Linked DNA regions of Rhinolophus ferrumequinum. The protein of the gene in region 1 purifies or fractionates together with the protein of each later gene. This does not show direct contact. Links are inferred from orthologs where the notes say so. Each region holds a gene or a part of one and is shown on either strand. Other genes may lie near its edges. The genes, in order: CRK, DOCK5, MAP4K5 and NEDD9.

Region 1 (6,927 bases):
GAGAGCTGCCAAATGTAGGAAGCTAATTTTGGCTCTACACAAGAGCCTCCACCCGACTCCATTTATTCATTCATTCCCTCACTCAACCAACATTTACTTAATGTGCCGGGCTCTCTGAGATAGGCTTGATACATGGGATATTGCAAGAACAAAAAAGAACAAAATCTCTGCTTTTATGGAGCTTATATTCTAGAAGGGAAGAGAGGACAATACATAAAACAAATACGTAAAACAAACAATGGGTTAGAGCGAGGTAAGTGCTAGGAAAATAAATAAAGCAGAGAAGGGGGAGAGGGAGAGTTGTGTGTGCAGTTTGCAGTTTCAAATGGACTGGAGACGACGGAAGGCCTCGGTGAGAGGGCAACACTGGAACAGGGACCTGAAGCCGGTGACTGTGGATTTCCAGCAGAGGGAACAGCAAGTTTTTCTCAAAGCATGGCAGCTTGTTAAAGAAAAAGGAAGAAGGTCCGAGGGGCCTGGAGAGGAATGAGCAGAGTGAGGAGACAGGGAGAGAACATAGGTGCATTTCCATCTCACCTCTCTCAGATGTTCTTGATTTTCTCAGTTCCTTGAGGACCGAGTCAAGGAACTTGGCACCTGCTCCTGGATTCCTCCCTGCAAAAGGCTTCTGTGTGAGCAGCTCTCCTGAAGGATGGGGGCAAGGAGGGGGTTTACGTTGCAGCCAAGCAGACAACTCATTCTCAGTGTCCTACAGGATGTTGCCATTGGGAACATCTCACTGACCTTTCCGGGAAGGTCTGGCCTCCTGCCTTGGTTCCCAGCACATTCTCCTCCTCTAGACTCTCCTTGGAGTCCTCTCACATTTCTCCCCAGAGCTTTCCCCTGGTGTCTGCCTCCAGATCTTATCTTTGCACATGTTAAGACTGGTTCTCCTCTTTGCACAACTAAGGGCTACCCACTGGGGGTGGGGCATCCTTCTTTTTCACAGTCTACAAACTCCAGCGGAGACTTGGAAATGTCTCTGTCTCCTTTGTCTCTCCCCCCCATATGTAAATGAGAACAGGGCAGACGTGTATTTTCCCACTAATACAAACTTTGTCTACACACACTAACCCACTTTTCTCTCTTTTTCACAAGCACTTTGGAAAGGAATACTGTCAGTTTTCCCTCTGAATAATAATTTTTGTTATCTTGATACAAATAATCTTTCTGCTTGCCTGTGTTAAAAGAAAAAGTGGGTATGAATAGCCCAGTTCCAGACGGCCCCATTTATGTAGCACCCTGCAGTTGGGCCGTGCACAAGCTGCATAGCTGAATGAGGCAACTCTGGTCACTTTAGGTAACACAGAGCAGGCAGGCGAGCAGGTTGTTGATTTCCTGCTCCTCCATTGCTAAAATAGGGAATGCCTCTCTTTGGTTAGGAGGATCGGGAATGGAGGATTTTGGTGCGTTTTTCTCTTAAACAGGGCAGACTTCCCTTTTCCCCCCTTTTCACCTGTTTCTCCTTCGGGTACTTTCCCCATCCTCCCACACCACCCAACACCAGGAGCCCTTCCTAAGCAAGAAGATCACATTCTTTGTAGGGCAGGTCTCAGGCTTGTGGGGGGGGAGGGGGGACAAAAGGTGCCATTATTGCTGGAAATCTTGACGTATGAAGGGGAGAGGAGGAGAAGAGAAAGGAGGGAGGAGCAGCGTGGGCTTGCCTTTTGCTTGTCCCAAGGCCACTCCTGCTCCCACCTTATTGACCTCTGAATTAGTAGATTCTCTGTGCTCCAAGGAAGAACACACTGAGTAGCTGCTTGGGGCTGTGGCTCCCCTCCTTGCCAATCTCATTTCTTATTTTCCAGCTCAGTTACGATTTGTCCTTCTTTTCTTCCTTCTTTCATTCCTTCCTCTTTCTCTCTGCCTCTCTCTCCCTCTTTCTTCTTTGTATTTTTTTTTTTTTTTAAAGAGGGTGCAGCTCACAGTGGTCCATGTGGGGATCAAACCAGCCACCTTGGTGTTGTTAGCACCATGCTCTAACCAACTGAGCTAACCGGCCACCCCTCTTTCGTCTTTTAAAGTATTTTTCCCCATCATACCCATGTATCCTAGGGAAGGGGCTTAGAGGCATGGCTTCGGAACCTCACAGGTAGTCTCTGGGTAAGGTTCTGCCTCAAAGCCTGGCAATCCTGGGAAATGAAGAGCAGGCACTTCTCTTTCCCAGAGGGCCAGAATTCACACGGGGCTGCTTCTGCTGCTGGCTTGTAGTGACCTGCTGTGACTAAGCCAGGGTCATGATGAGTCATCCACAACAGGGAAGGTGCCCTTGCTCCACTCCCCTTCCCAGGCAGGACCAGGGGTGTGTGACGTGTGTCCAGAAGAAGTGCGTTATTCATGTAAGACCATAACCCAGCGCTGACTAATTCTTTTTTTTTAATGTCTATTTCCACCATCCTCTCCCTTCCTGCCACTCCCACCGTTCCTATCTCAGACATCTGAGGATATAGCAAAGTGACCATAGCTCTCTTCCAGGATTTGAATCTCAGCTCCCCATTCAGCAGCTGTGTGTCTTTGGACAAGTTACTCAACCTCTCTCAGCTTCATCTGTAAAATGAGGATAGTTGTAAAATACCAACCCATAAGGTTGTTGACAGGATTAAACGAGATGATCCTCATAAAAGCAGCACTATGTCTGGCATCTAGTGAATAATATGAATAAATGTTAGCCATTATTATGTAACATTTATGGGGATGCTTGGCCTTCAAAGAACTCTAGCACGGAACACAGACAGACCTGTAAATGAAAGATTACGGTACACTGGGTAAGAACTATAATGGAGATAATATAACAGAAACATAGTGCTGCCATGCAGAGAGGGAGTGATGTGGTGGTCAGGAAAGGGGGGGGGGCATTTGAGTTTGAGATCCCAAAAGGAGTGGAAGGTCAATCCAGAAAGAAGTAACACAGGGTTCATGGAAAAGTAATTGAGACTGTGGCCCACTTTTATGCTGTGAGCTAAACTGGGAGTTTTAACACCTGGAGAGTGTTAAAAGTTTGTGATTTAGGAAGAGAACACTGGCAGCTGTGAGCACCAATGAGCAAGCTGTTCACAGGAATATAGATATAGATATGGAATGTAGAGACAGAGATGGTCATGATGGCAGGGAGAGTGGAGGACACTCATGGCCAAAATTAGGGTTTAGAAGAATCTGATAGGATGACTTGAGAGCCTCAATGGAGAGGACAACTTCATACTTCTACCTGGCTTGGCATACTCTGTTCCCTTTGTCTTGAATGCCCTTCCCCCTTGTCATTCAATATTCAGGTCATGCCACCTCCTCTGGGAAGCCCTCTTGGATCTCTTTACAGATTGGATTAGGGGGCCCGGCTCTGTGTTCTTAGAACTTCTGTCTGTTCCCGATCATAGCATTTGGCATTCCTTTGTCATTGACTGTTTCCTGGTTCCTCACTGGTGAATTTGGCAAGGGTAGGACTCAGCCTTGATCACCTTTGTACCCACAGGGCAAATGTGTCAATAACCGTTTGCTGAATGACTCAATGAAAACAAGAGCTTTAGGTAGCCTGGGGAGGGAGAAGCTGGAGGAAGTGTCAGAAAAAGACCGTCTCAGGTAGCTGAGTCCGTGGGTCCATATCATCTTTTCTATTCCAATTCTGTCTCGGAGTCGCTGCCTTGAAGTCCTGGGCATTCCAGTAACTTGAAGCCTGGTGGAGCGAAGAAGAATCGAGTAGCCAACAGCAGACACAGACTTCTGTGGATGGCTGGTTGAGGCCCAACCCCCTTGGCCTGGACTCCGCCTCTCCATCCTCTGCAGTCCCGGTCCCCGCCAGGGGGCGACGCCCATGAGACCGCATGCGCAATACGCGCGCGAGCCGTCCCTTGCCCTTCTCCCAATGGCGGGCGGAGGTCCCTTTCCCGGCATCCTCCCGAGGGCAGGGAGCGCGTCATTTCCGGTGGGGAAGGCCCGCGGCCGCCGCCGCCATTTCGGGCGCTGCTGTGAAGCTGAGACCTGAGCCGGTCCGCTGGGCGGCGGGCGCCGGGGCTGGAGGGGCGCGCGCGGCGGCGGCCCAGCGTGTAGGCACGGAGGCAGCCATGGCGGGCAACTTCGACTCGGAGGAGCGGAGTAGCTGGTACTGGGGGCGGTTGAGCCGGCAGGAGGCAGTGGCGCTGTTGCAGGGCCAACGGCACGGGGTGTTCCTGGTGCGGGACTCGAGCACCAGCCCCGGGGACTATGTGCTCAGCGTCTCCGAGAACTCGCGCGTCTCCCACTACATCATCAACAGCAGCGGCCCGCGCCCACCGTTGCCACCGTCGCCCGCCCAGCCTCCGCCCGGTGAGGGACGGACAGGACGGGAGGCCCCGGGCGGGGGTGAGGGCCGTGGAACTCCCCAGCCTTGCCGGCTGCTCCTCGCGAGCTGATCCCCACGAAGGACGTGGACAGAGGGCTGGTGTGATCGTGGCAGGGGGCGGCTTGCTGCTGGGGCTGGTTCCCACAGACCAGCGGGAGTGTGGGGGAGGAGGAGCCGCTGACCCAGGCCTCTGGGTGTGACTTGGAAGGACAGCCCAGGGGAAGGGGAACTGCTTCGGCCCCAGGGTGGGGCTAGCGCCTGGGCCAGGCACAAGGGCAGGGCCAGGCAACGTGGGGACAAAGAGCTGAGGGGAATGTTGGCACTGCGGGGGCATCACTTGGCAGCGGTGCCCAGAATGAATCCGATAATCCTACAAGTGGCTTTTTAGGCTTGAAACATTTCCTGCCATGCTAGGAAGCCGGGTTTGGCTATACTCCCCTGGTGGCCTTTGGTAGGAAGTCACCACATACTGGCCTGGAGGGATGGAGACACCCTTCAGGAAACCGCTCAGCTTTTTCCTTTCTTGGGCATTTTTCCAAAAGATTTTTACCGTCCTCTTCCCTCGCGGAGGACGAAGGTGGTGAGCTCAGTGCCTTGGTGATAGATGGCCCTGTATGGCCAGCCCAGAATAAGTGGATGCCTGGATGACTGTACCCAAGAGATCTTAGTGTCCAGAAGACTGCCCTCCGCAATTCGGGGGCTCTATTTCTCAGTGTTTAGTGGAGGAAAGATTTTTGTTTTCTTTCATGAAATAAACCAGAAATAAGCCAATGGAAACAATCCCTTCTCTGAAAGTGAACGGAACTTCATTTTTCCTGGGACTTAAGCATTGTCAGTCTTGTACTTGAGGGCCTCTTCTTGCCCAGTAAGTTGGGGCTGTGATCTGAGTCTTTCTAGATATTGGGAACAGACCTTGCTGGGTAGATGCTCTGAGAATTTAAATGATCAGCACTGAGTCTTCCTTGCCAAGGATGGATGCGATATGACTGTCTTACCCCTGCCATTGGAGTTGTTGGGGGAATATTAGGGACATTTATGCACTTAGTGCTTGCGCTTTGGGAGGGACAGAGTGACTCTGAGGTGACCGTTACCTGTGTTAACAGCACCAAGAAGAGTCCTTGTGCCTTCTCACTGTTCCCAAATTGAAGCACTTGCCTCTTGACCAGCTAAGACCAAGCCAGTCTCAAGTAAATTAGGAGGCTCCTGAGCCCAGCTTTGCAGACTTACCCTTTTAGGATTGTCTTAATTTAGATTTATATACTCTGGCCAGAAATGGGGAGAAAGGATAGTCAGTCTGTTAGTTCTTAACATAAACCAAGTTTAAAAAGAGTGTGAAACCAAGTTTAAAAAGAGTGTGGGATCTTTAAGTACACAAATTATCCTAGGTCTTTCTCAGTCTGGTTGGTTTAATAGCATTATAACATGAGATGGAAATATTGATGTAACATTTGCCCTATACCAGCGATAGTCTACTTTTTACCACATGCATGGTATCTAGGGGTTTTTGTTACAGTGCGGTGATACGATGGCAAATTGTCACTGAAACTCAATTTTCAACCTTGTTTGTATATGTGTTTTATTGGTTGCAAAATTTGGAAATGGCGGCAGGCAGGTTTCTTAGTTTGAGCTCTCTCCACACCTAGGCATTATGATTTTATATCTCAGTGTTTGATATTGAGCTCCACCTTTTCATAACAGAGGAGTTCAGATCCTTGGCCCAAGAGAGAAGGTAAAGATTGCCACAGTTTGTCGATGGGGTGTGGAAAGTTCATGGGCATTGTGGTAATTCTTTCTGCCATGGACCCTATTTTACATGTAGGGCAGGTGGTTCGGTTGCTCTCTTTATAAAGGCTACTTAATCTTTTTTCTGACCTTCCCCCATCAAGCTCTTTTTCCTTTGAAACCACACAGGAATTTCTTGAATTTCAGAAAGGCATATACAATATTAATAGCTAACATTTACTGACTGGCTGTTCTATGCTACGTACTTGGCCGAGCACTTTATGTGCCTTACCTTATTTACTATCTGTAACAATCTAGTGAGGAATGTCCTGGGATCTCCATTTATTAAAATATTTCCACTTGATAGATGAGGAAACTGAGAATCAGTCAATTGCTTGGTCACACAACTTGTAAATATTGAGCTAGAATTCGAACCTGGGAATTCTGACCTGAGAGCTGACACTATTACACTGTATTCCTTTCTGTCAAAGCCAGTTTACTTGTGAGGTCCCAGCAGTGTTGTACATAGAGGACTCAACATATTTGTCTCTGTACTGGGGTCCCAGGTTCTGCCTGAAGACCAAAAGAAAAGGATGGCAAGAAGAAACTGGCTTTGGTGTTCAGACAGTACACATCTGTCTAAAATCAATGATGAAGAGGCTTTTAAACTCCTACTTATTTGGAAAAGTAAATATGGGAAATGGGAGCTTTTTTGCTTAGGGTAATATAATGTATTTTGTGGGCATGATACCTAGGTAGAATGTGTGGCTTAGATACGGTTTTTAGAGGCTTAGGGATAAAATTGACCAGGAATTCTCAACGTTTTATTTATTTTTTAAAGATTTTATTGGAGAAGGGGAACAGGACTTTATTAGGGAACAGTGTGTACTTCC
Region 2 (6,862 bases), on another chromosome or scaffold:
GCAAAGAGCATTCTAGAAACAAAACTGAAAGCTTTTTGCTGTGATCATGAAAAGAGTGAAAGTGCTTACCAAGCATGAATCTCACAGGGAATGAGGACAGGAATAGCTTTGGAATGCTGACCATCCTCTCCCCATTCATCAGAGAAACTGGACATACAAAGCCACGTGGCAGAGCTAAGGACAGACTCAAAGGTGCTCACCCCTCAAGTCATGGGGTGCGGGGCAGAGAGTCTACAGTGATGTGAGTTTGTGACGTATATAAAAAAGAGGTTTCTAGGGCTGTAGAGATCAGCTCCTTTGTCCATTTACCTCAGGGCTCCCAAATTACAATGAATCACCCCACTCCTAACTTACAGAGAATCACCCTGTCCCAAAGAATTTGCCTTCAGAAGATTGCAAAGTGGTGCTTCGAGTCAATGACATTCCTTTTCCTTTTTTTTTTTTGCTAAGTCTAGCAACTACACTCTCTCATATCTCATATGTAGGATCAAAGAGTGAGTCTCCTCTATCTAGAAAAACAAAAGATGCTCTTTCACTGAATCCACAGCGTCTCTCGTAGAAGCCATCCAGTCAGCCAGACTTGGCGAAGTCAACCTGGTAATCAATGGAGGAAGTGATGTGCTTGGCAGTTTTGTTGACATCCATCTAGTCTCAGTCATTATAAGGGATAGGCACAATATGCATGGCAAACTACCCTTCACATTCATTTATCCTCACTGCTTTCTCCAAGGCGCCGCTTCAAACAGAACACTCGTGTTGGTGTATGCCTAAGTATGTTTGCATTTGTGTGGGTTTTGAGTCGAATATCTCTGGTTGTAAATACGCTTAATGTTTCTTCTGAAAAGAAATCAGAGGAAAAGGAAAAGGATATTTCTGGGAATCAAGCTGTTATTCCACCTACCCATCTGGTTGACTCTCTAATTTTAAGCCTCATTTTAATAAAAGACTTTGAATAGCACTGCTTTTATGATTTAAATGGCCTTTCCAATTGAGATTTAACCATCTGATATAACAAAGTGGGTGGACTTCAGTCTTCAGAGGAAACAGAATAAACATACTCAAAGCTGTAATTTAAATTTTCCATTTTCCTCCAGCCCTCTTAACACAATTATTGTCAAACTTGAAATAGCCAGGGCTTAAATACAAACCTCAAGTTTTGCAAAAATCTTATAAGGCAAGGGTGGGGAGAGGTAGCTGAAATCATTTTGGTAGAAATCCAGTTCCACTGGATGAGCATTGAACACTCTGATGTGTATTAAGTTTACAATATATCCATGGTTAGAGAACACTGGACATCCAATCGTCTTGAACACGGAGGATGGAAGAAACTTTGTGAAGCCCCATCCCAAAATGCTTCAGTTCCTAGCATTGTACATGAAGGAGTTACCGAGGAAGGTATGAAAAAGTGAGTCCTAAAGAAATATCAAAAGAAAACTTTAGTACAGAACAACTTGGATATAAAGGATAAAGATGAATTAGACATCACAGATGACCAAAAAAAAGGCAACTCTATGTTCCAGTAGCTCAAGCCTCAAATCTTAGGGTCATCTTCGACCTATCTTGTGCCTTGACCCAGGGACAAGATCCAAGGTTTGTGGGGCCTGAAATGTATATAGTGAGGCTCTTTTTTTTTTTTTTTAAAGAAAAGCATTATTTAGGGGGGCAAACTTTCCAAAAACATATGCTGATGAAAGTACCCTGAGGGGTCCAGAAGCCTCAGTCATTTCCCCTGTCCACACTGCCTTTCTCTTGGTTCTACCTTCAATATATTTCAAGAACCCAACCTCTTTCCCACCTCTCCACCTACACTCCTGGACCCAACTACCTTCATTTCTTGCCCCAACTCCTTAAATTGCCTTCCATCCTTCTGGTCTTTTCGCATCTTCCCTTGTGTCTTTACACTCTGCTTCTCCCACAGCAGGCAAATTAGATCATGTCCTTGGTTGGCTCAACACACTCCAAACCGCTCACAGTAACAGGGAAAAGTTCTTACTCTGCTTTCCAAGTTCTTACTATGCTTCCCATGTGGCTGGGACTACGTTTCCTCCCACACTCTGCTCCTTACTCACCTGTCACCACCTGGTATTCCTTGATGTTTTTGGAACCTGTCAAACATGCTCTGGGCCTTTGCATTTGTTCTTCCTGAGTCCAGAATACTTTCTCTGGAATCCTTACTTCCTTCCTGTCTGGATTTCATTGTCACCTCACCAGATCAACGCCATCCCACATGCCTTGCTAACCCAATCACTATAGAACAGAACCTCTCCCATCCTCCTTGCTGTGGATTTTTCTCCACAGACATAGCCTCTTTGGGCATACATTCATTTGCTTATTGCCTTCATCACTTCTTCTAGACTGGAAACTCTATGATGAGAGGGATTATACTTTATTCATTGCTGTGATCCATTCTTAAAACAATGCTTGACATATAATAGGTCCTTCATAAATATGTGTGGAAAGAAGAAATTACCTAACCTGGGGAGTTAGGTTAATCATGATGGCAGAGGAAGAGAGAAATTTCCGGGGAGATGGTGGAATTCCTTCTGTTACCATTGGCAGAGAAAATAATCCTCATGTCCCTTCCCTGTATTACTTCTAAATGTTAGGTTTAAAGTGACAGATTTCTTAACTTATTATGACACTTTATGGGTAAATACCTATTTGCGGATGAAGTAGAAAGTAAACCTAGAAGTTAGCCACCGCGAACAGGACCTCTTTTTAAAAACTTCAGATCTGACTTTGCAAAATGCATGAATTCTTCAATCAAGTTTTACTGTTTATCTTCCTTTCTTTTCATGTTCCAAATAGGCAAGAAAGCCATCGCAGACTGCAGGGACAAAGTTTCTCTCAAATGTCATTTTCTCAGACGGTGAATATAAACCAGGTGGTCATTTACTCGGATTTTTACTTCCATGTGTGAATTAAAGACCTCCCCACCATCCACGCTTCATTCTTGAGGTCTCTCCAGGAGGAAGTGAGTTCCAGGAGGGCAGTTTTAGAGGGCAACAACAGGAGCCTAGGGCACTTCAAAAGAGCATCCGTGCGTTTGGCTCTTCGTTGAAACAATACAGTCAGTGAACCAGAAGACTTGGATGTGCCAGGTCCCCTTCTCCGTAGGGATGGTCTTTGCGCGGTTGGTCTGCTGGAAAAGGGAGGCATTGGGGCGGGCTTTTCCCTTGAGCATGAGGGTCTGAGTTCCCCCGAGGCTCTCCTAGGAAACCATTTAATACGTCCGAGGAGCCCGTCTGCCTTGTATCTGTTGTCTATTTACCAGAAGACACACATGTTCCTGCTTTGAAGGCTATAAACGGTGGCCACAGGAGATCAAGTCTGTCCTGGAGTCCGGCTTCCGGCTCGCGTGGTGTCAGTTAAAGCTCTAGGGGGTGGACGCAGTCGTCAACTGCTCATTCATTCAACAACTATTTACTGAGGGCCGCCGAGTGCCGGGCACTGGAGGTGTCCCGGGGGCGAAAAGCAGCTCTTACTGGTACATTGCGGTGCCCCCGGGGCCCCGGCGCGCGCAGTGGGGACGCAGCCCGCGCTCCTCGCCCACCCAGGGCCCGGCCGGCCGGCCTGGGGGGGCCCAGCGTCCCAAGCGCAGCCCTCCAGACGCCGGCGCCGGGGAACCCGCCCCCACGGAACCAGCCTGGAGGGTTGCATCCCGGAGGGGAAGGCGGGGGAAACGCAAAATACCAAAAGTAAAGCCCAGACCCCAGTCTGCACTGGGAAGCTGCTCCGGGAAGTCGGCCAGGCGGAGAACAAGCTGGCCTGGGCCGGGGAGAGCGGGCGGGAGAGGCCGGTCCTGGCGCGGAGGCGGGCGGAGGGCGCGGCGGGCGGGAGGGGCCGGGGCGGCGCCGCCGCCCGGCCCAGCAGGTGACCACGGGCCGGGCCGGAGCCGGAGCGAGTCCCGGGCGGGCGCGGGCGGCACAGGCAGCGCGGAGCCGATCCGTGGGGTCGCGGAAGTTTACCGGAACATGGCGGAGGAGCCCGGGGCGCGCAGGGGCGCCGCGCGGCGGCGGTGGCCGGCACCCCAGGAGCTGTAGCCGCCGCAGCCACAGCCGCCGAGGGGCGAGGTCGCCGCCATGGCCCGCTGGATCCCGACCAAGCGGCAGAAGTACGGAGTTGGTGAGTGATCGCCAAGTGCGCGGGAGCGGCCCTGTCTGGCACGAAGTTGGGCGGCGGATTCCAGGCACTGGGTGTGCGCGCCGCCCGGGACTGGGGTCCGGCTCCTGCGGCCCCGGGGGGCGCAGTCAGCACTCCACTCCCGCGGCGCAGTCCGGGGGCGGGTGGGGAATCGGAGTCCTCTCCCCGAGCAGGAGACCCGCAGGGGAAGTCACTCCGGGCTTTGGGAAGCCGAGTGACTAAAAGTGCATCTGGGCTCCGGGACGGATCATCCTGTTCCCGAACCCAAAGCTCAAGCGCCTGGCATAGTGGAAACGTCAAAGGCGAGGGCGCTCGCGGGTTACTCCTTTAGGGGCCCCAGCTTCGGTGCTCGCGCCCCTCCTCCCCACCGTGCGGTTTCATTCAGGAGTTTGTAACCCGCGGAGGACCGCTGAGTGCTGCTCGCTGTCCAAGGGCTTTCTGCCTCCCTCTTCTTCGGTTCTCTCTGAAGCCCCAAAGTGAGGAGTTGGAGGGTAACAGTTGTGAAGTGAATGGGAAACTCAAGTTGTGTGGATGTGATGGAAGAGACAGGCATTTTGTGACATGGAACGGGGGTGGTGCCCCCCGAGGCCGGGGCTCATCCCCTAACGGAGTGTATGGAGAGGGTTAACGACAGCCTTCTGAACCCCGAGTTTCGTCGCAAAATCAGATGAGGACACTTTATTAGGGAAACCGTGACAGATCCCGCGCTAGGCACCTGGCATTCGTAGCAGCGGTGCGGGAGGGCTCCCACGGCGCGCGGAGGGAGGGGTTGCTGCTGTGTGGGTTTGGATCCGAAACAGGCGGGGTTTTGACCCAGGTGGAAACCGTGGTCCTTCGACTTTCCATTAAGGAGAGAGGTTGCTCAGGTCTCGTGGGGAAGCTCTGCCGTAGGGGCGATTAGGAGCGACGCTCCAGTAGAAACACAGATGTGTGCGTTGAGAATTTTATCGCTTCCTCTCAGGTTCATTCATTTGGCCTGTTTGTAATCTCATCGTTTACTTCACTCCCTTCCGCGCCCCCATTTTTCCTTCCTCAATGGTGCCTAGGACAGATCCCTGAACCTAGTTAGTACTTTCAGATGGCGAAGTGATTTCAGAGATCCGCTTACTATCTCCAGATGCGGTTCAACTCTGTAGCCAAAGCAACAACAAACCCTCTCATGTTTACTATATTGTTCTTAGATTGTGATCCTTTTTGTGTGTGTGTGTGTGTGTGTGTGTGTGATAATACATGTCCATACTATTCCTTGTTTTTCCCCTATTCCCAAAACGTATTTGATTTTTTTTTCTTTCCTTTAAAGTGCGATTAGTACAAATCCTCGCACTCTCCTGTGGCTACAACTCAGAAATCGTTAGGTGGTGTTTCTCCTGCCCCAGACCACCCTGTCATGATTTGCTCATGAAGCTTCAGAAAGGGACGCTTAGTCAAGTGCCAGTTAGTAAGTAGTCAGTAGTTACGGAAGTGAAATGGTCTAAAATAAACCATTTTGAGTATTATCCAGTACTAACTACTAAATTAAATCATATTGAGCAGTGCCTAAGTGTTCATTACTACTTACAAAATGGTTCTCAATTCTCATTTTGCTTACCAGGATAAAAGCTGTTTGCAAAACGATTAGGCCTTTGGTGTAGTTAATGCAATCATATCCTACAACTGTGGTTTTTAGTGCCACAGTCATAGGAGCAAGTATGAGACGTTCTCTCTTTTTTACCCTGTGCTGGATTCAGGTTACCTTGTTAGTTTCCATCAGTCAAGGAAAGTATTTGAATTGCATTTCCAGGGCATAGGTGGTAGCAAAATTGCCCCAAGATATAATTTTTGACACTCGTGTCACTGGACACAATAGATTCTGATTAATCTGTACTTGAGGGAAGGACCCACTCTTAGGACAGATTATCTGACAATAAATCACCATCGTTTATTCCTAAAACACATTGTTACTCATATCACCTCTCTGCTTAGAAGCCTTCCTTGGCCTACAGGGTAAAGTCTAAACTGAGCCCAACTTTCAAGTTTCCCATAATCCAATTCAACATATCTTCACTGACGTTATCGCTCTCACTGCTTCTTTCATTAACCCTCCAGTGCAGACACTGCCCTTCTGGCTCTTGCGCAATGTGCCACGGAGAGTCCCTCCTTTGGGACTTTGCCCCCTTCTGCTTGTCCCTGTTCAGATTGCCCTCCCACCTTTGCATCCCACAATGCAGAATTTCCCTTAGGGCTCAAATCCCTCCCCTTTGCCACCTTCAGATTTGGTATTCACCAGACCTCACACCTTCATACCTCTCCCTCACAATTCCTACATTGTGCGATCCCTTATATTATTACTTATCCTCTTATCCTTGAATCCAATGAACCAGAAGGTTATGGTTTTGTACCCCTGTCACTCAAGAGATATGCTACCAGGTATAGGGCCTTCCTGTAGTAACTGCTTGTCCTTCGTGTTGAGGTGACATCCTAAAGCACTAGCCTAACTTTTTCTGTGAGGATTTAAAGCTGGTTTTTCTCTATTAGGTTTTAGCATCTCATTCGCTTCAAGATGAGGTTTTAGCATCTCGTTCACTTCCATATGAGGTTTCCTTTGTTCTGTTAGATGGACAAAGTGAGAGCCTTCAGTCTGTCTTTACCTTTGCAAGTAAAAATGTGACATGTGCTGCTGAGAAACAAGGAAGCATAGAATAGATGGGCTTGTTTCAATGTAATTGGGAAAATTGGCTTG
Region 3 (7,583 bases), on another chromosome or scaffold:
ATTTTCTACTCATGCCTTAAGTATAGAATTAAAGCCTCCCTATTTGTCTTGTTTGCCATATATTGTCACAGAGGCAGTCAGAGTAATAACACAATTTTAGTAATCATCACTGTCAAAGCAGATAAGTGCTAGAGATTGATCTTCCAATGCTGTGTCCTCGAGCAGCATTCCATCACCGGCCATCTCTGATAGTTACTTGAGTAATTGTGATGCCACTCCATGCTATGGCAGACCATTGTTCCATTTTCTGTGGCAAGTAGTTTGTTTATACAGGTAATCAATCATCATGTATGTCAGTAATTCCATCCCAGAAAGCGAAGGTTTCCTTCCTGAGGCTACTTCCAATTCATCTACCAATCAGGGTTCTGGCAAGAAAGAGGTAGCACAGAAAGAGAATCTAATGAAAGGACTTTGTAAAAATGAGGACATGGTTAAAGGAACCAACAAGGGATAGGGAAGCACCCTGAGACTAGCAACAGTGGGAAGCCATCATCATCCTTGCCCTACAGGTTAGGTAAGGAAGAAGAGCTTGTTAGAATCCTGCAAGAGCTGTTATAGCTGTAGGACAGAGTACTAGAGGTTCTCAGAACACTGGCCTATATATAAGGTATAAGCAAACTTTAGACGCCTCTTCTGAATATTATACTCATTGTGCTATGTAGAAATTGATAATGAACATAAGATTATTTGAAATTTTCTTAGTTATTGAATTTGCAGACAGGACCAATTTATGAGTTGAATAGAGGAACCCTGATACCAATTCTCATATAAATCTTAAAACTACCATGGGGATCAGGGTAATGGAAATAGCATTTTAACATATCAGGCGAGTAATTCAAGCTGGATGAAAAAGCAATGTGCACTGCCTTCCTCAACTCTTCTTTTTAAAACTCCCATCGTAATGACCTGATACTGATTCTAAATGATATACATGATCTATGGCTATCCAGAACAAAATAGAATTCTCCTTTCCGTACTTTGAGAACATGATTTTTGCCTCAACAGACAACTGGGCCTAATTAGTAAGAGAAAGAATAGTTTAACTATTTGAAAATTCAAATCATAATTATGGCCGATGCCTTCCAACATTTAATTTATATTTAACAAAACTGTAGAGCATTCAACTCAATCATATAGTTACATTTTGCAACTAATTTATGTTGGAAGATTCATCAGATTATACGAGTTCTGACAATTAAGTTCACGAACCCATCCTAGAAAAAGTGCTACATACCTCATTGCTGAAAATCACTACAGCCACCTTTGAAGTACTCCCCTTGAGAAGCTGTGCACGCTGACGCCAGCACCTAGTCCACCCTTCAAAGCAGTTTTGGAACTCTTTTTCTGGAATGGCCATCAGAGCTGTCGTCGTATAACCTTTGATGTCCTGAATGTCATCAAAATGTCTTCCTTTCAATATTTCCTTTATCTTCAGGTAAAGAAAGAAGTCATTGGGGGCCAGATCAGGTGAGTAGGGAGGGTGTTCCAATACAGTTATTTGTTTACTGGCTAAAAACTCCCTCACAGACGGTGCCGTGTGAGCTGGTGCATTGTCGTGATGCATGAGCCATGAATTGTTGGTGCAAAGTTCAGGTCATCTAACTTTTTCACCACAGCCTTTTCAGCACTTCCAAATAGTAAAGTTGGCTAACTGTCTATTTGGTGCAAATTCATAAAGAATAATCCCTTTGATATCAAAGAAGGTTAGCAACAGTGTTGCAACAAGTTTGCGAACTTAATCGTCAGACCTTTGTATTGCTTAAACCTCTATGTTCCATACACTAAAATTATTGTTTTCATGTTCTGTTCTTTCACACTTGACGGTTTAATTAGCCATTCTGTCTTGGATAGTAAATTGTGAATCTTACCTATACAGAAGTTAAAATTTTTTATGTCCCTTGTTTTTTAAAATTTAGCCTTGGCTAAAGTTAAAACCAGAAGCCACAGATTACAATTAGCATTTTACTGAAGAAGGAAAAAATGCTACAAAGCATAGAAAAAACTATTATAGGTTGTTATATAGATTAGAGTAAAAGCTGGAATAAATTTGCATGTCAGATATTATGAAGACACTAAGAAAATAAGATGGGATGAAGGGCCATATGAAGCCATATTTATTCTTATTCCAAACCTTGTCATTATAAAACTGAGTAGTTTGTAAGGAACTCTCCTTTTAGCTACAATTTTTATTATTATTATTATGTAACCTTCACCTATCTGTTTAACTGTTTAGAATATAAAATTAAATTTATACACTGTATGTTTATTTTATGGAAATTGAATTAGAATTTCTTTACCAACCATGTAATATTTAACCACTAGCTATGACTTCACCGATCTTGTTAAAATTAACTCAACCACTAACTATTTAAAAATCCTTAAGATTCTTTTGGAGTTAGTATAAAGCAAATGCTTTCCCCTTTGCATCAACTGTGGTACAAGTAAAATAATGATTATAGCAGACACAGTTTTTAACCATCACGCAGAATTTTGACTTTTTCCGTGCTATCTGCCTCTGAGTTCATGGTCAAAGTATATGGATTTGCCATTACTGGCAACATAAAATATCTGCACTCCAGGGTCTTGTTGAAGCCTATGACCTCACTTTTTTATTACTTAATTCATATCAAACATTGTGTTTCAAGAATAACATGCTTCAAGGATTATCAGAAGGACATTTATCCTTGTTTCAAACTGGGAATTCAAAGTTTCCACTTTATGAAAGCTCATGAGGTAAATTTTTCTAAAGTCTTAGAATCAGGGAAGAAAGTGTGTCTCTCTCTTGATCAACTGGTTCATTGTGATCTCCAACTGGTTCATTGTGATCACTATAAAGCCCTCTATTTTGGTTAATTTGTTACATTGTTCTGGTATCCTATTTTCCCTCTCTATAATATCATATCTATTTCCTAATTTACTTATTTCTGTCTTGTGTTATAGTATGTATTTTTTGTATGATGCCCCAAATTCTCTGTGGAATAATGCAAGCATAAATAAGTAAGAATAAATATGTTTCAGACTAGAGAAAAGATCAATGCTTATAGGGTCACAGGAAAAAAAAAAGAAAAAAAAAATCTATGACAGTAAACAAGTACTAGGATACCAATAGAACATTTGAAACGATTTTGAGTCATTGAAGCCAAAAGTATGTGCCCACCCAAACAAGTGCCAAGAAGCTTTGAAAGAAGGAACTGTTCTTCAACAATTTTTTCAATGCAGCAAACACATAGGCTTTGTCCATAGAGCATGTAAGTCTGAGCTTACTTATGTTCCCTAAATAAGTGCCCTTTGTGCAGGGAACACAAGAAAATACATGTTTTCCCTGTCCTGCTAAGGTGTGAATTTAATTCCTACATTATACAATTGATTATAATAATCAACAACAGGAGCATATTGCCCCAAAACAGAACTGAATTGGATATTCAAAGCCATAAGCTAACATCTGCAGCGTGCTCTTTTGTGATTTTTCAGTCACAAATGCATTGGCTGAGTGTTATGTGGCTTTTCTGTTCAAAACCCCTACTGGGTGCTAGAAATACCTTTGCCAGTATACATAAATCTGGCAACTTTATTTCTACCTTCAAAACAAGACTGGAACTGAAACTGCAAACCAGCTTGTGAAATATCAACCAAATTACTTCCCCCGAATTTGTTTGATATTCTGTGTTTTGTGAAGTACTTTAAAACCTCTTATATTTGATAACCCTCTTTATAATCCTGTAAAATGCTTTATAAACACTTTGTCGGATGTCAGATGCAAAACCTTATCCTCTTTAAGCTGCAGACAAGGATATCGAGATATTGCCAAATACGATGTCTTGTGCCGGATAATACACTGAAGAAGTGGTAGAACCAGAACCAGGCTGAGGTCTCTGACTGTTTTAGCTTCTGCAGAACTTCTGATCCAATTAAAGGGGCGTATAACACTCCCTTTATAGAGGGTATTAGGAGACACTGCGTGTGAAAAACAGGAATAAAGGCCATGGAGACTTCCTAGGAATTCAAGGAAATGGCTCGGAAAACTCAGTAGAAGACAGGTTGGGCAGGTGTGCTGTGCAGCCTTAAACTGGTACCACTGAGAAAGGTTTGCAAAACAGGAAGGTGCAGTAGGGTGTGCCGCGGTTTAGTTAACCTGGCATGCCCCCATCTCCTGCCTGACGCCCCACTTCCAGGTAACTTCTGGCCCAGTGCCCTCAACGTACCTTTTCCGTGTTGAACTGGGAGGGCTGCGTTCCCAGCCGCCTCGTGCCCACTCTTCCCCCTCTACCCGTCACCGAGTTTACCTGACGAATCTGGGGCAGTTTAGCGGCGGCCTATCGGCACACAAATGCCCAGGGGCGTCCCTAATCTCTGCGAGAGGGTAGTAAAGCCTGGGCCCTGAAAAGACGTGCTGGGCCAGCGGGGGCGCGGTGGCCCGGCCGGCAGGGTGTCGTGTCCCGACCAGGCCTCAGGGCGGCACTCTGGTCCTGCGGCCGGCGCGCTCGGGCTGGCCGCTGGGCGCCGACCCACGCTGGCCGGGAACGTGTCTCCGGGTGACGCAGCCCCGGGTGGGGAACGTGGTACGGCGGCGGCGGCGGCGGCGGCGGCGGCGGCGGCGGTGGCGGTGACCGTACGCGCCTCCACCGCCAGCTAGAGGACGTGTGGTGCAGCGGGAGGCGGCGGCACAAGGCTTGGGGCGGCGGGCGCTGGAAAGCAGGACGCAGGCGCCGGCGAGGAAGTAGGTCCCGGGCGCGGCGCTCAACAAAGAGAGGGGCCGCCCCCCTCAGGTACCCAGCCGGCCCTGGGACCAGGCAGGCGGGGAGGCCGGGACAGACAGTTTGCAGGCGGCGGGGAAGGGGGAACGGCCGCGGCCAAAACGGGGCTGCGGGGCGCCGGGGACCTATTTACTGGCCCTATTTTTTGCGGCCCCCAGCCGGGCGGAAGGGAAGGGGCTGGGCCACTCGGGGTCGTAGCCCGCGGCGCCGACCCGCCTTTGCTTGTCCCTCGTGCAGGCGGAGCTGCGGGCAGAGGCTCCATGTTGGGAAGCGGCGCCGTTCGTCCTCGTTAGCGGGAACAGGGCGCCGCGGGCAGAACCGGCGGGGGCCGGGTGCTGAGCGAAGATGGAGGCCCCGCTGCGGCCTGCCACGGACATCCTGAGGCGGAACCCGCAGCAGGACTACGAGCTCGTCCAGAGGGTCGGCAGCGGCACCTACGGGGACGTCTATAAGGTGAGGCAGACCGAGCCCCGGCCCCGAGCCGGGCGCTTTTCCTGCGGTCGGCTGGCTCTCGGGAATAGGGCCACTTTCTGGCCAAGTATGAGGAGGGGGGAGGATGCTTTTATTGTTTGCATCGTGGAGATACAGCGGCCGGGATCCCTTTCACTCCGTGCATTGCTTGCTCAAATCGCTACCAAGAAGCAGAACTAAACATACTTTTGCAAAGTACTGTTGTCCTTTTTTTGTGGTATAAAGGCATTTTAACGCTTCTTTATCGTACTGAAGGGAGTTCGAACCTGCTTATGGAGTTGCACTTGAGAATGATTTAGTCTTAGCATGGAGAAGTCCTTCATGGAAGATAGTAGACAGGAAAGAATATTGACATATTGGCATCTGCATTTAAAAAAACTAAAATGGATGAGCTTGACTTTAAAAGTCGTATGAAAACCTTATCTCAATTTTAACTGTACGCAATCTAATACTGGATCAAAGTGATCTGTGCACAAACATTATCCTATGCAGAAAGATGCTTTTCCTGGCAGAAGTTTTATCATTTGTATCTGGTCAATGGGTTTTGTTTTGTTTTGTTTTTCCTACTTCAGCAGTTCCTCTCTGGGATTTATAGCATCCCATGATCAAGAGTGGATGAGAGCTGCTGTCTTTTTAATTGTGATCTTTTGCATTATTTGAGACCCACGATGAGGGTGAGTTTCTCTTAGTTTGGGACTTAAGAAAACATCATAGAGAAGCAAGCCCAATTCCCTAAGTCCACTGAGTTAGTTCTTCAAGGATCAAGAGGAAGGAGATTGTTTCAGATTGCCTTAGGCTTTTTGTTCTGTTCCAAAAGGGAGTAATAATGCAACTCATATAGGTATATTAAGGGAAATTTCCTTTGATTTTGCAACAGCTTTATTTATTGGATTTAATCATGGTATGTGTGTATCCCATCATTCCAAATAACACTCCTGCATGTATCTGAAAGGGCCTTGTGTGTTATGTGGGTAATTAACCAGTGGAGTCTTCTGGGGTTATGTTGTTTTTGCACAGGTGGTAATGTGGAAGGAAAACATTTCTGCTTTTCTGCTTTGGTTTAATATCATCTCTGTTAATACTAACAGTTCCGAGTGGTGTTATGACAGCTCTAGCACTGTTTGATTCTATTGAGATGGACTGTAATGGGTTGGCTTTTTATTTGTTAAGCAGGTATTTAAATCTTCTGTACTAAGCACTGTTCTAGATAAGGGGTTTTGAATTGTGAGGTAGGTCCCAGCTCTTGCCTTGTATACTTTCAAATTCAAAGTAGATAATTATAACATAATCCTCTTTTTCTTTATGTAGAATTAGAGGTAGCTCACTCTTAATTGTTGATCTATGAATTAGTCATGTTGTGGAATGCTCTTTAAAAAATTGAAATTCCTGTTTGCCTTCTCATTCTTATTTTTTAGTCATCTTTGTCTTATTATTTAATCCATATATAAGTGTTTGCCCCACTAAAAGCCCAAGACCTCTACTCTTTTCCTTTATAAATAACAGCAACTGAAGCAGCTACCCGGAGCAGGATTTTATTTTTGCAAGGGAATTCAAAAGGTTATATTAAAGGGGCAGCTAATTCTTCTTTCACCCTGGGGCCTCCTTGCTCTTTGTCCCTCTTCCACAGCTCCTAAACAGATGGTCAAAGATTGAATATCATATACCACCTTCAATGGCACCCCTTCCGCACGATCACCTTCCCTCACATTCATGCTTTCTCACAGTTACATATACTCTCAGTCTAGCCTCTGATTCATAAACATCTTCAACTCGGTTCCTTGTCTTTTGTTTTCCTTTCTTCTAATTACCTGAAATCACCTCCCATTTCCACCTGTTGCTATCCTACCTGTCCATGAAAGTCTTACTCAGATATTCCTCCAGGAAGCTCCAGCCCCTTGATCTTTCCAACCTCATCTACTACTCTTCCCCTTCCTTCACTCTGTTCTGGCTACACTGGTCTGCTAGCTCTTTCTTAAACATAATAAGCATCTTCCCACCTCTGGGTGTTTGTTCTTGCTATTCCCTTTGCTCAGAATGTCTTTCCTTAGACAGCCACATGGCTTGCCTCCCTTCCCTTGCTTTTATACCCTCTCCATCTTTTTTTTCCTACTTTATTTTTTCCTTTGCTCTGATCACCATTTAGCATAATGTTTTACATTTTTTATTGTTTATCATCTATCTCAATCCACTAACATACATACTCCATGAGCGCAGGAGTTTTATCTGTTTTGTTCACTGCTCTGTGTCAAATAGCACCTAGAATTATGTCTGGCACAAAATAAGTGCTTTCTAAAAATTTGATGAATGAATGAATATCAGTAATTCTATCACCTAGTTCTGTGGGCATATGCTTTTGAC
Region 4 (7,913 bases), on another chromosome or scaffold:
AGCTAATGAAAATCAAGATAAATATGGGAGAATAACAATTATTTTATTAAGTTTTATTGTTTTACCTCTATTACTAATATCTAGTATAAGTTAAAAATCCAAAGACCAAGGTTTTCATCCTGGCTCTGTGGTTTCATTAACAAAGTTGTTAAACCTCCCAAGATCTCAGTTTTCCCATCTATCAAATGGAAATAATAACTTCCTCTATTTAGCTTATATTCCAGAATTGTATAAACCAAGACACCGAACATGACAATGCTAGGCAAACTGAAAAGATCCACACAAATGTGATTTATTTTCTCATTGTCATTATCATCACTAATCATTACTGCTTTAAGATTCTGGGTTGCTCAGCCATCTCATATCTTGCCAAAAAGTAAACGGCTAGCAGCCACAACAAACTTCATACCACATCTGAGCTTACTTTTCAAATTGGCTTAGTTTTTATAGTAATTAAAAAATAACTCATAACATTTCATGCTTTGTCCCTGCAGTGAGCCAACCGGAGTACAATCAAATTTTGGAAATTATAGAGTACCAACCCCAGGAAGAATTCTTTTGCAACACACACACACACACACACACACACACACACACACACACACCACATATCCTACAGCACTAAGAAAGTTTGATAGTAGGTGTGAAGAAGACTCATCCCCCACAAAAACTGAGAAATAGTTTGTCTTCTCTTACTGGCAAACTTTCTATATATCCTTCCTCTTCAATATTGCCCCTACTCCCAGGTGCCCAGAATCCTGTTGCTAAACTTCTACCACTTCTAAGTCAGTTAATGTGAGTCTGTTTACTCAGTGCTACAACTGGGGTGACAGTGAGTGGGGTGAAGAATCATCATCGTCTTTATTCTCATTTTTCCAATCTTCATTTATTGAACATTTACTATGTGGCTTTATATTCAACATCTCTTTTAATCTTGCAACAACCTTATGAAATACATATTATTGACTTCGTTTTACAGATGGGCAAATAGAAACTTTGAATGATTATGCAATTCACCCAAAGGCACACAACTTTTAAGTGGCAATGTCTGCCTGAAGTCCCTGTTTTTCACCACCTCAGTTGACTGTCTTCCCAAGTATTTCCATCACTGGACAGAGATTTATGAGGAGGAAGATGTTCTTTTGGGAGCTTCTGCATGTACACCCTCTACTGTTTTTTACTATCAACCCACCAACATATATTTTTAAACTCTTCTCTATACATGGATGGCTATGCTAAGCTTGGAGGAACGTAAAGAACTATAATGTAAGTGACAGTGATTTAACTCCTCTTTATAGGATTCTCTGTACTTGAAAGGAAAAGCTATGTGCCATACACCAAATGAATGAGTTCCTAATGATACAGTTTCTGACACGGAGGCAAGCAGATGGGGAAGAAGTCTTGTTTCTATGGGGATTTCTTGTTGTTTGGTTGCCCTCATGTGTGTTTGTTTTAAAGGGACAATCACTGTACTCCTAATACTAGGGTTTCCAGGGGGGAATTCCTGCCCATTTTCAGGAACTTTTTTCACTTTCCTGTTCTGAATCCTGAGATACAAACTGTTTTCTGTGCTTCATGATGAATCGTTTCCACAAAGTGACGGCCGATACTACAAACCACCTGGGTTCAAGGAGCTGATTTTCCCAATTTCCCGACCAACGTTTCTCAGGATTCGGGAATGGAAAAGTGAAAAAAAGTCCCGAGAACAGGTGGGAATTCCTGCCCGGAAACCCTAGCGATAAATAGGAAAAATGTCTAAGAGAAACATTGTGAGTAGTACATTTATTTCCCATCGTGGGTACTACTGGGTTCAAGGAGCCGATTTTCCCGATTCCCTGACCAACTTTTCTTGGGATTTGGGAACGGGAAAGCAAAAAAAATTCCTGAGAAAGGGCAGGAATTCCCACCTGGAAACCCTACCTAATACCATACCGTGTAGGCAATCATCTGATCTGACCTCTCAGAAGGTGCGATCTTAGTGGCGTCGTTTTCAATGTCCTTATCCTAGATGTAAAAATGGCTGTTTGATCAGTCTATCTTAAAACAATATTTATGTCTGTCATTCGGAGAATCAGAAATTATGCTGATTATTCCTAACGACACGACTTGTTTTTCTAACTGCAGAAAGGGTAAGGGAACATGTTTTAGAACTTTCGTGTCTGCGTATTGTTTTTGTAGGGTGTCTTTTTTTTTTTTTTTTGCTTTGAATAAGAGCATCAAAACTCCATTGTATAAACAGTCGATTTTGCTAATAATATCTCGTGCCTAGAGCTCTAAGATTAAATTATCACACGTACTCATAAAATTGTTCATGATGGCCCTCTTTGTCATACTGGTTTTGGGGGACAGGATTGAAACTCATCTTCAAAGTCTACCCTATTACATCAAACTTTCATAGGATCCTGCTGTTTTTAAGTACATGATCAGACAATTTACAGGAATCTGAAAAATGATTTGCCTTTTTAAAAACTTGGGATTCACCATTTCTGCCCATCTTCCAAGTCAACCTTTGGAAGTAAAAGGTCTTTAAACTTAGGTTAACTGGGGGAAAAAATGTTTCTGAGTACCCAGATTCCAGGTAGAGCGTGCCCTCCAGGAATACCTTCACCGGCAGAAACAACACTCCCGTAGGGCTATCAGAGCAAAGGCAGCGGGAGGAACCCTCATGCTGCCAGAGGGTCTTATTGTGTAAGCCTCCTCAGCTTGCCTGGGGTCACTGAGCCAGGAGAGGAAGGGACACCCACCGATGTAGCACAAAGGGCAAGCGCATTTCGCTTCTGACCTAGAAGCCATGCCCAGCTCCTTCACATGAACTGCCCCGAGCTGGGTCTTGTTTCCAGGTCCCCCTCAATGCTGAACAAAGAGACTTCACTGGATCTCCAAGAAAAACACCAGCAGCACCGAGTGCCAACAGAGAGAAATGAGGTGTGCGTTTTCTGGTTTCGTATTGCAGCTCTTCTAGCTCCTCTTACGACAAAAATAACATCTGCAATGCCAGAAACCTATGAAGTAATAAATAACCTTTCCCCCAGACGTTTGCCAGCTTTACCTTGCTTTGAGGCACAATCAGGCCTGAAAAATGTATGACTTTGTGTCTTCCAACTTGAACAGACATTGCCCCTTAGGAGAGGTTAATGACTTCTCTCAGCTTCACACTCACTCTAGAAGGGAAGTGTGGCAGTCACTAGTGGGATGTCACAACTCGCATGGACTCAGGTGGTTCAAAACGTACAACCTGTAGTACACATTCCAGGCAATGAAAGCAGATGGTGAACTAGCTTCCAAAGCAAATCAAATAGCAAAATCGCTACTCAGACCAATAACCAATTGACACAAAATTTAACGTGAAAAATGCTTTAAAACCCACAAACCACTTCCCTTCGAATTCTTGATGGCAAACACATTAGGTCATTAAGAGAGGCTTGCTATAAGCTAATTTCGGAGAATAGCATTCACACCTTCTGCAACAGAGCCCATCTGAGGGGCCCAGTTCTCATAATATTCTCCTGGGAAGAAAATGGCTGATGTGCAAGCAGCATTTTGGTGGCTTGGTTAAGCCTCTGAGCCTCCCCGATAGGCACATGCCATCCTCAGAGCATGCCAGAGCTTAATGCCCTGAGTCCTTTAAAAACGTAGTTGCACCAGGAAATTGACTGCTGTGCATGCTACAGGATGCTGTAATGACACGTGATTTGATCTACCTTTACTTTGCACTTTGGTTTTAGATGATCCATTTAGAAAAAGGTCAAAAAAAGAAAAAAGAAAAGGTCCATAGTTATGTGCTACAAGAGTGCAACCAGTTACACTGCTATAACAGAGGCCCTTCCGTCTGCCCTTTTCCTCTTTCAGGATACGCTCACTCTGTAGAAAATTTGCAGTTGTTATCAGTTGTTTATATATTGGTGTGAATCAGTTTTAAAAGTAACAGATGGACATAAGGACACTTGTCCATGAGCAAGGGACTAATCACTAGAATAGGAGATAAGGAATAGGAAAGATAAACTTTTATGTGACTCAGTTACTATACACACACACACACACACACACACACACACACACACACACACACAGCATCTACATTGTGCCTGGCACTCTGGGGGCTGCTGGGAAGGCAGAAATGAAAAGCATCAATTCTCATCCTGTTTAGAGTTTTTTTTGCCTAAGGTCAGCTCTTCTGTTGGACTGGAATTCTACTTTGCAAATCTCTTAGTGAGGCAGAACTCAGGGGCAAGAAGAGCCAAGAAAGAATAAAATTAGAACAAAAGGGAAGGGGTAAGGAACAGTGTCTAGAGTGGGGACATTGACAGAAAGAAGCAAAGTTCAGAAAAATAGTCAGTATTAGAGACTGGCCCAGACAAGAATTGGGTTACTGAGGATGACTTCCAAGGTTATTTCCGTGGATCATGGGCCCTCAGGAAGCATCCTTCCCACTTCAGATCCCAATTTTCCCATTAGATAAATGAGGAGTGTAGAGTGCACCAGGGGTTCTAAACCAGAGCAGTTTGCTCTCTCAGGATATTTGCCAATGTCTAGAGACCTTTTTGGTTGTCACCCCTGGGGACAGGGGCTACTACTGGCATTTAATGTGTAGAGGCCAGGGATGCTGTGAAACATCCTACAATGCTGAGAACAGCACCCACAGCAGAGAATTACCCAGCCCAGAATTTCAATAGTGCCAAAGTTGGAAAACCCTGGGCTGTACCATTTGAAGGATCTATTAACCACCATTAATAAGTTCCATGTGGTTGATGGCCCCCCAAAAATGTATTGGTCTGGAACCAGGAGTCCACTGGCCATACTTTGCATTTTCCCAAGGGTCTCAGAGCCAACGTGACCCATTATACTTATAAATTTTGCCTTGTTTCCTGGCATTCCTGAGCACATGTCCGTCACACTCAGAGGTTGACCAGTGCCACTCAAAGGGAGATTTGGCCTGCAATAAAGTTGGAAGATGCACAAAAGTGGATCAGTCAGCAAATACGCCATCCACTTGGGAGCTGCTCTGAGTTTGCACAACATAGAAGGTCACCTACATAAATTCATACTCATTGATACTGAAAGACTACTGCAAGGACTCTTTTGAACCTACAGGGTTTGTGACAAGTGTCTAATACAAGAAAGAAATATCAAAAAATACTGTGAAAGACATGGCACCTATGCGTCTTGGTAATTGTTTGGTGAGTACAGCCAACAAAAGCAGAGGCGCCCCTATAGTTTTGGAGTGGGCTAACGAGGTTCCAAGAGTTTGCCAAGTTATAGAACCATTCTGCCCTCCTGCCACAGGTACACTCGACAGAAGGTTAACCAATGGGAGAAAAAAATGCTAGTGCCCCGAAGGCCTCCATAGGTAGATTCCAGCTCAAGCAGTAAGGGCTCTGCCTTGTCAGGTATCTGAAAATGGAAAGGTGGTTCTGAAAAGCCAAGCCAGTGGCTTGTTACCCTGCATTCCCTTACCCCTCTAAGGCCTGAAATATCTCCCTGAGACTCTGTCAAACTGCTACTGTTCATTTACGATACCAGGTATCCTACCACCCTCTAGCAATAACCACACAGAGTAACTTGTGAAATTCTTCTCACTTTGCTGATCCATCGAGACCCAGATGCCTCAGATGCCAAAGGACTTACATGGATCCAACCACTACCTGCCTCTCAAGCATAATATCCCTCCATACTCTCTATGCTCCAAACACACTGGATTTCTTTTAGTTCCTTGAATGCCTCCTGCTCCCTTCTGCCATAGGGCCTTTGTACATGTGTCATCTGCCTTATGTCCTCTTCCTCCCAGGCCATCACCACCCTTTGCTATTTGGTTAATTCTTTTCTCCCTTCAGAGCTCAGCTCAATCACGGCCTCTCTCACACAGACATTGTCCCTCACTAGGTCATCCCTCACACACGACCCTTATGGTACCTGTATCTCTTCTTCATAGCTCTTTCCACAGTTGCAAATTTACATTAACGTATGCCTTGGTGTTCAATTAATACCTACTGAATCAACACATAAATGAATCATTCTCCCCTGAAATGGAAGAAAGACCCTCTCTGGCCACACAGTCCTATTTCTCTTTGGTGGTTCCATTCTCTCAGCACGGGAAGTTGTTGGCTTGCCTCTTTACCCACCGAGAATCTTCCTTCACTGCCCAGCCCCGCTCACCCATTCTTTCCTCCATGACCTCTTCTACTATCTCCCACTCCTCACAGAATTTATTTCTCTCTCTCTGAGATCTCGTAGCACTTTATTTGTGTCTTTTCCCATGTTGCTTTGAATTAGCATCAGTTATAGACATATTAGTCTTCAGTTTTGGACTCTAAACTCCTCGAGAAAAGAGACTCAGACTAGCATACTGTTTTACAAAATATGTGCTTAATAAATATTCGCTAAAGTGAAATGACACTCGTTACAGCTCAGGTGATGGGAATACTCTCGATTAGCAACTCTCAGCTAGCACTAATACCAGGGAGATTCCACCTACTTGAGCTTCTAGAGAGGATGCAGGCTGGAGATGGTACGAGGTCCTCTCTCCGTGGGGAGAGAGAAGCTAGGTATGCTGTGAGTGTGTCCTAATTAACAGGAAGTTGCTGTCATCGTTGGGACCCGATGGGATTCTCCTCTTGTTCCAGATGGCTGTCATGGCAGTAATACTGCTTCTCTTCATGTAAGGTTGTCAGGTTTAGCAAATAAAAATATAAGACTGCCGGTTAAATTTGAATTTCAGATAAACAACAAATATTTTCTTGTATAAGTATGTCCCAAATATGTCATGGGATATACTTATCAAACAAAAAAAAAGTATTCATAGTTTATCTGCAATTCAAATGTAACTGGTCATTCTGTATTTTATCTAACAAGCTTAACCATATGCTTGTAACTTATGGTTGAAGATGCTGTGATATTAACTGGTGGTTCCAAATGACAACCCACAACAAATGAAAACCAATACAAAATGATCAGATAAATGTCATTCTTTCTCGATGCTTATCCATTGGTCTATATTGCTGTCATATCATTGTATGAATCATCATTGTCTGAAAGAGCAGGTGCTGAATCCTTTTTATTCTTTGTAGGTTGATGTTGCAATCACATATGCACTAAAAGCATACTTATGTTGCTGCTTCTTGTGTTCAGGAAGCAGAAACAGACTTGGGTGATAGTTTTTATTCTGTTCCCACAGAAGATTTAGAGTTAAATTCTAAAACAGTACTATAGTTTCCCATACATAAAGGTTTGCATTTAAAAAAAATAGAAAAGGAGAAACCAATCGGAAACATTTTAAATAAGTTAACATGAAAATTTAGGATTTAACCCACAATCAAATGTGAGTGAGTTTGTCCCAGGGTATAGGGTTGTACAGAAAAAGGAAAAAGCATATAGTCTCCAGCAATTTTCCTGGAGACCTATGACTTTTCAAGGAGGAGGAAATAAAAGTGAAGAATGAGCCATGTACCCTGATCAAATTTTCCCTTCAGAAACACCAACTGCTACATACACTTACTCCCTACAACCTTGATGGAGAAGGCCGGATTCCTATAACTGGGGAGGCTTTTATTTCATTGTATCTTCTCCTCCCTTACAATCCTGCAAGGTGAGACTTTTTTGTTGTTATTAACAAAAATTAAAACTCAGTTTTAATTGATTTGATTTGACAAGTTTTTGTGAGTTAAGTGACTGCACACATGCGTGAATGTGGCAAAACCAAAATAAGACATTGCCTCGATGAGAAACTAAATGAAACCTGTAAGGACTCTAATCTACTCATTTTCTTTTGACCATAACCTGATCTTTCTCTAGAGGTTCTTGAAAGAACATGTCCTGATTTCCTTGGGACTTGCTTGTTTTGCAAGAATCTTAGATCATTCAAACAAACTTAAACATTCCTGTGTCCCTACTGTTTCCCCAGAAGATAATATTTTGTT

What was found.
Region 2: the proteins of CRK (region 1) and DOCK5 purify together in Homo sapiens (affinity purification with mass spectrometry; 3 studies listed by BioGRID and IntAct, with this or other methods). This does not show direct contact. The link is inferred for Rhinolophus ferrumequinum from reciprocal best matches to the Homo sapiens genes CRK and DOCK5.
Region 3: the proteins of CRK (region 1) and MAP4K5 purify together in Homo sapiens (affinity purification with mass spectrometry; 4 studies listed by BioGRID and IntAct, with this or other methods). This does not show direct contact. The link is inferred for Rhinolophus ferrumequinum from reciprocal best matches to the Homo sapiens genes CRK and MAP4K5.
Region 4: the proteins of CRK (region 1) and NEDD9 purify together in Homo sapiens (affinity purification with western blotting; 3 studies listed by BioGRID). This does not show direct contact. The link is inferred for Rhinolophus ferrumequinum from reciprocal best matches to the Homo sapiens genes CRK and NEDD9.

The regions. Positions count from the first base shown.
Region 1 is NC_046304.1:16,425,174-16,432,100, forward strand, and holds the start of CRK (adapter molecule crk), read left to right. Parts: upstream 1-3,905; 5' UTR 3,906-4,055; coding exon 4,056-4,296; intron 4,297-6,927. UniProt on the Homo sapiens protein: Involved in cell branching and adhesion mediated by BCAR1-CRK-RAPGEF1 signaling and activation of RAP1.
Region 2 is NC_046301.1:41,911,916-41,918,777, reverse strand, and holds the start of DOCK5 (dedicator of cytokinesis protein 5), read left to right. Parts: upstream 1-3,858; 5' UTR 3,859-4,082; coding exon 4,083-4,125; intron 4,126-6,862. UniProt on the Homo sapiens protein: Guanine nucleotide exchange factor (GEF) for Rho and Rac. GEF proteins activate small GTPases by exchanging bound GDP for free GTP. Along with DOCK1, mediates CRK/CRKL regulation of epithelial and endothelial cell spreading and migration on type IV collagen.
Region 3 is NC_046289.1:41,696,468-41,704,050, forward strand, and holds the start of MAP4K5 (mitogen-activated protein kinase kinase kinase kinase 5), read left to right. Parts: upstream 1-4,567; 5' UTR 4,568-4,717; exon of another isoform or gene 4,718-4,766; intron 4,767-4,991; 5' UTR 4,992-5,099; coding exon 5,100-5,207; intron 5,208-7,583. UniProt on the Homo sapiens protein: May play a role in the response to environmental stress. Appears to act upstream of the JUN N-terminal pathway.
Region 4 is NC_046292.1:82,820,934-82,828,846, forward strand, and holds the start of NEDD9 (enhancer of filamentation 1), read left to right. Parts: upstream 1-4,900; 5' UTR 4,901-5,147; coding exon 5,148-5,177; intron 5,178-7,913. UniProt on the Homo sapiens protein: Scaffolding protein which plays a central coordinating role for tyrosine-kinase-based signaling related to cell adhesion. As a focal adhesion protein, plays a role in embryonic fibroblast migration.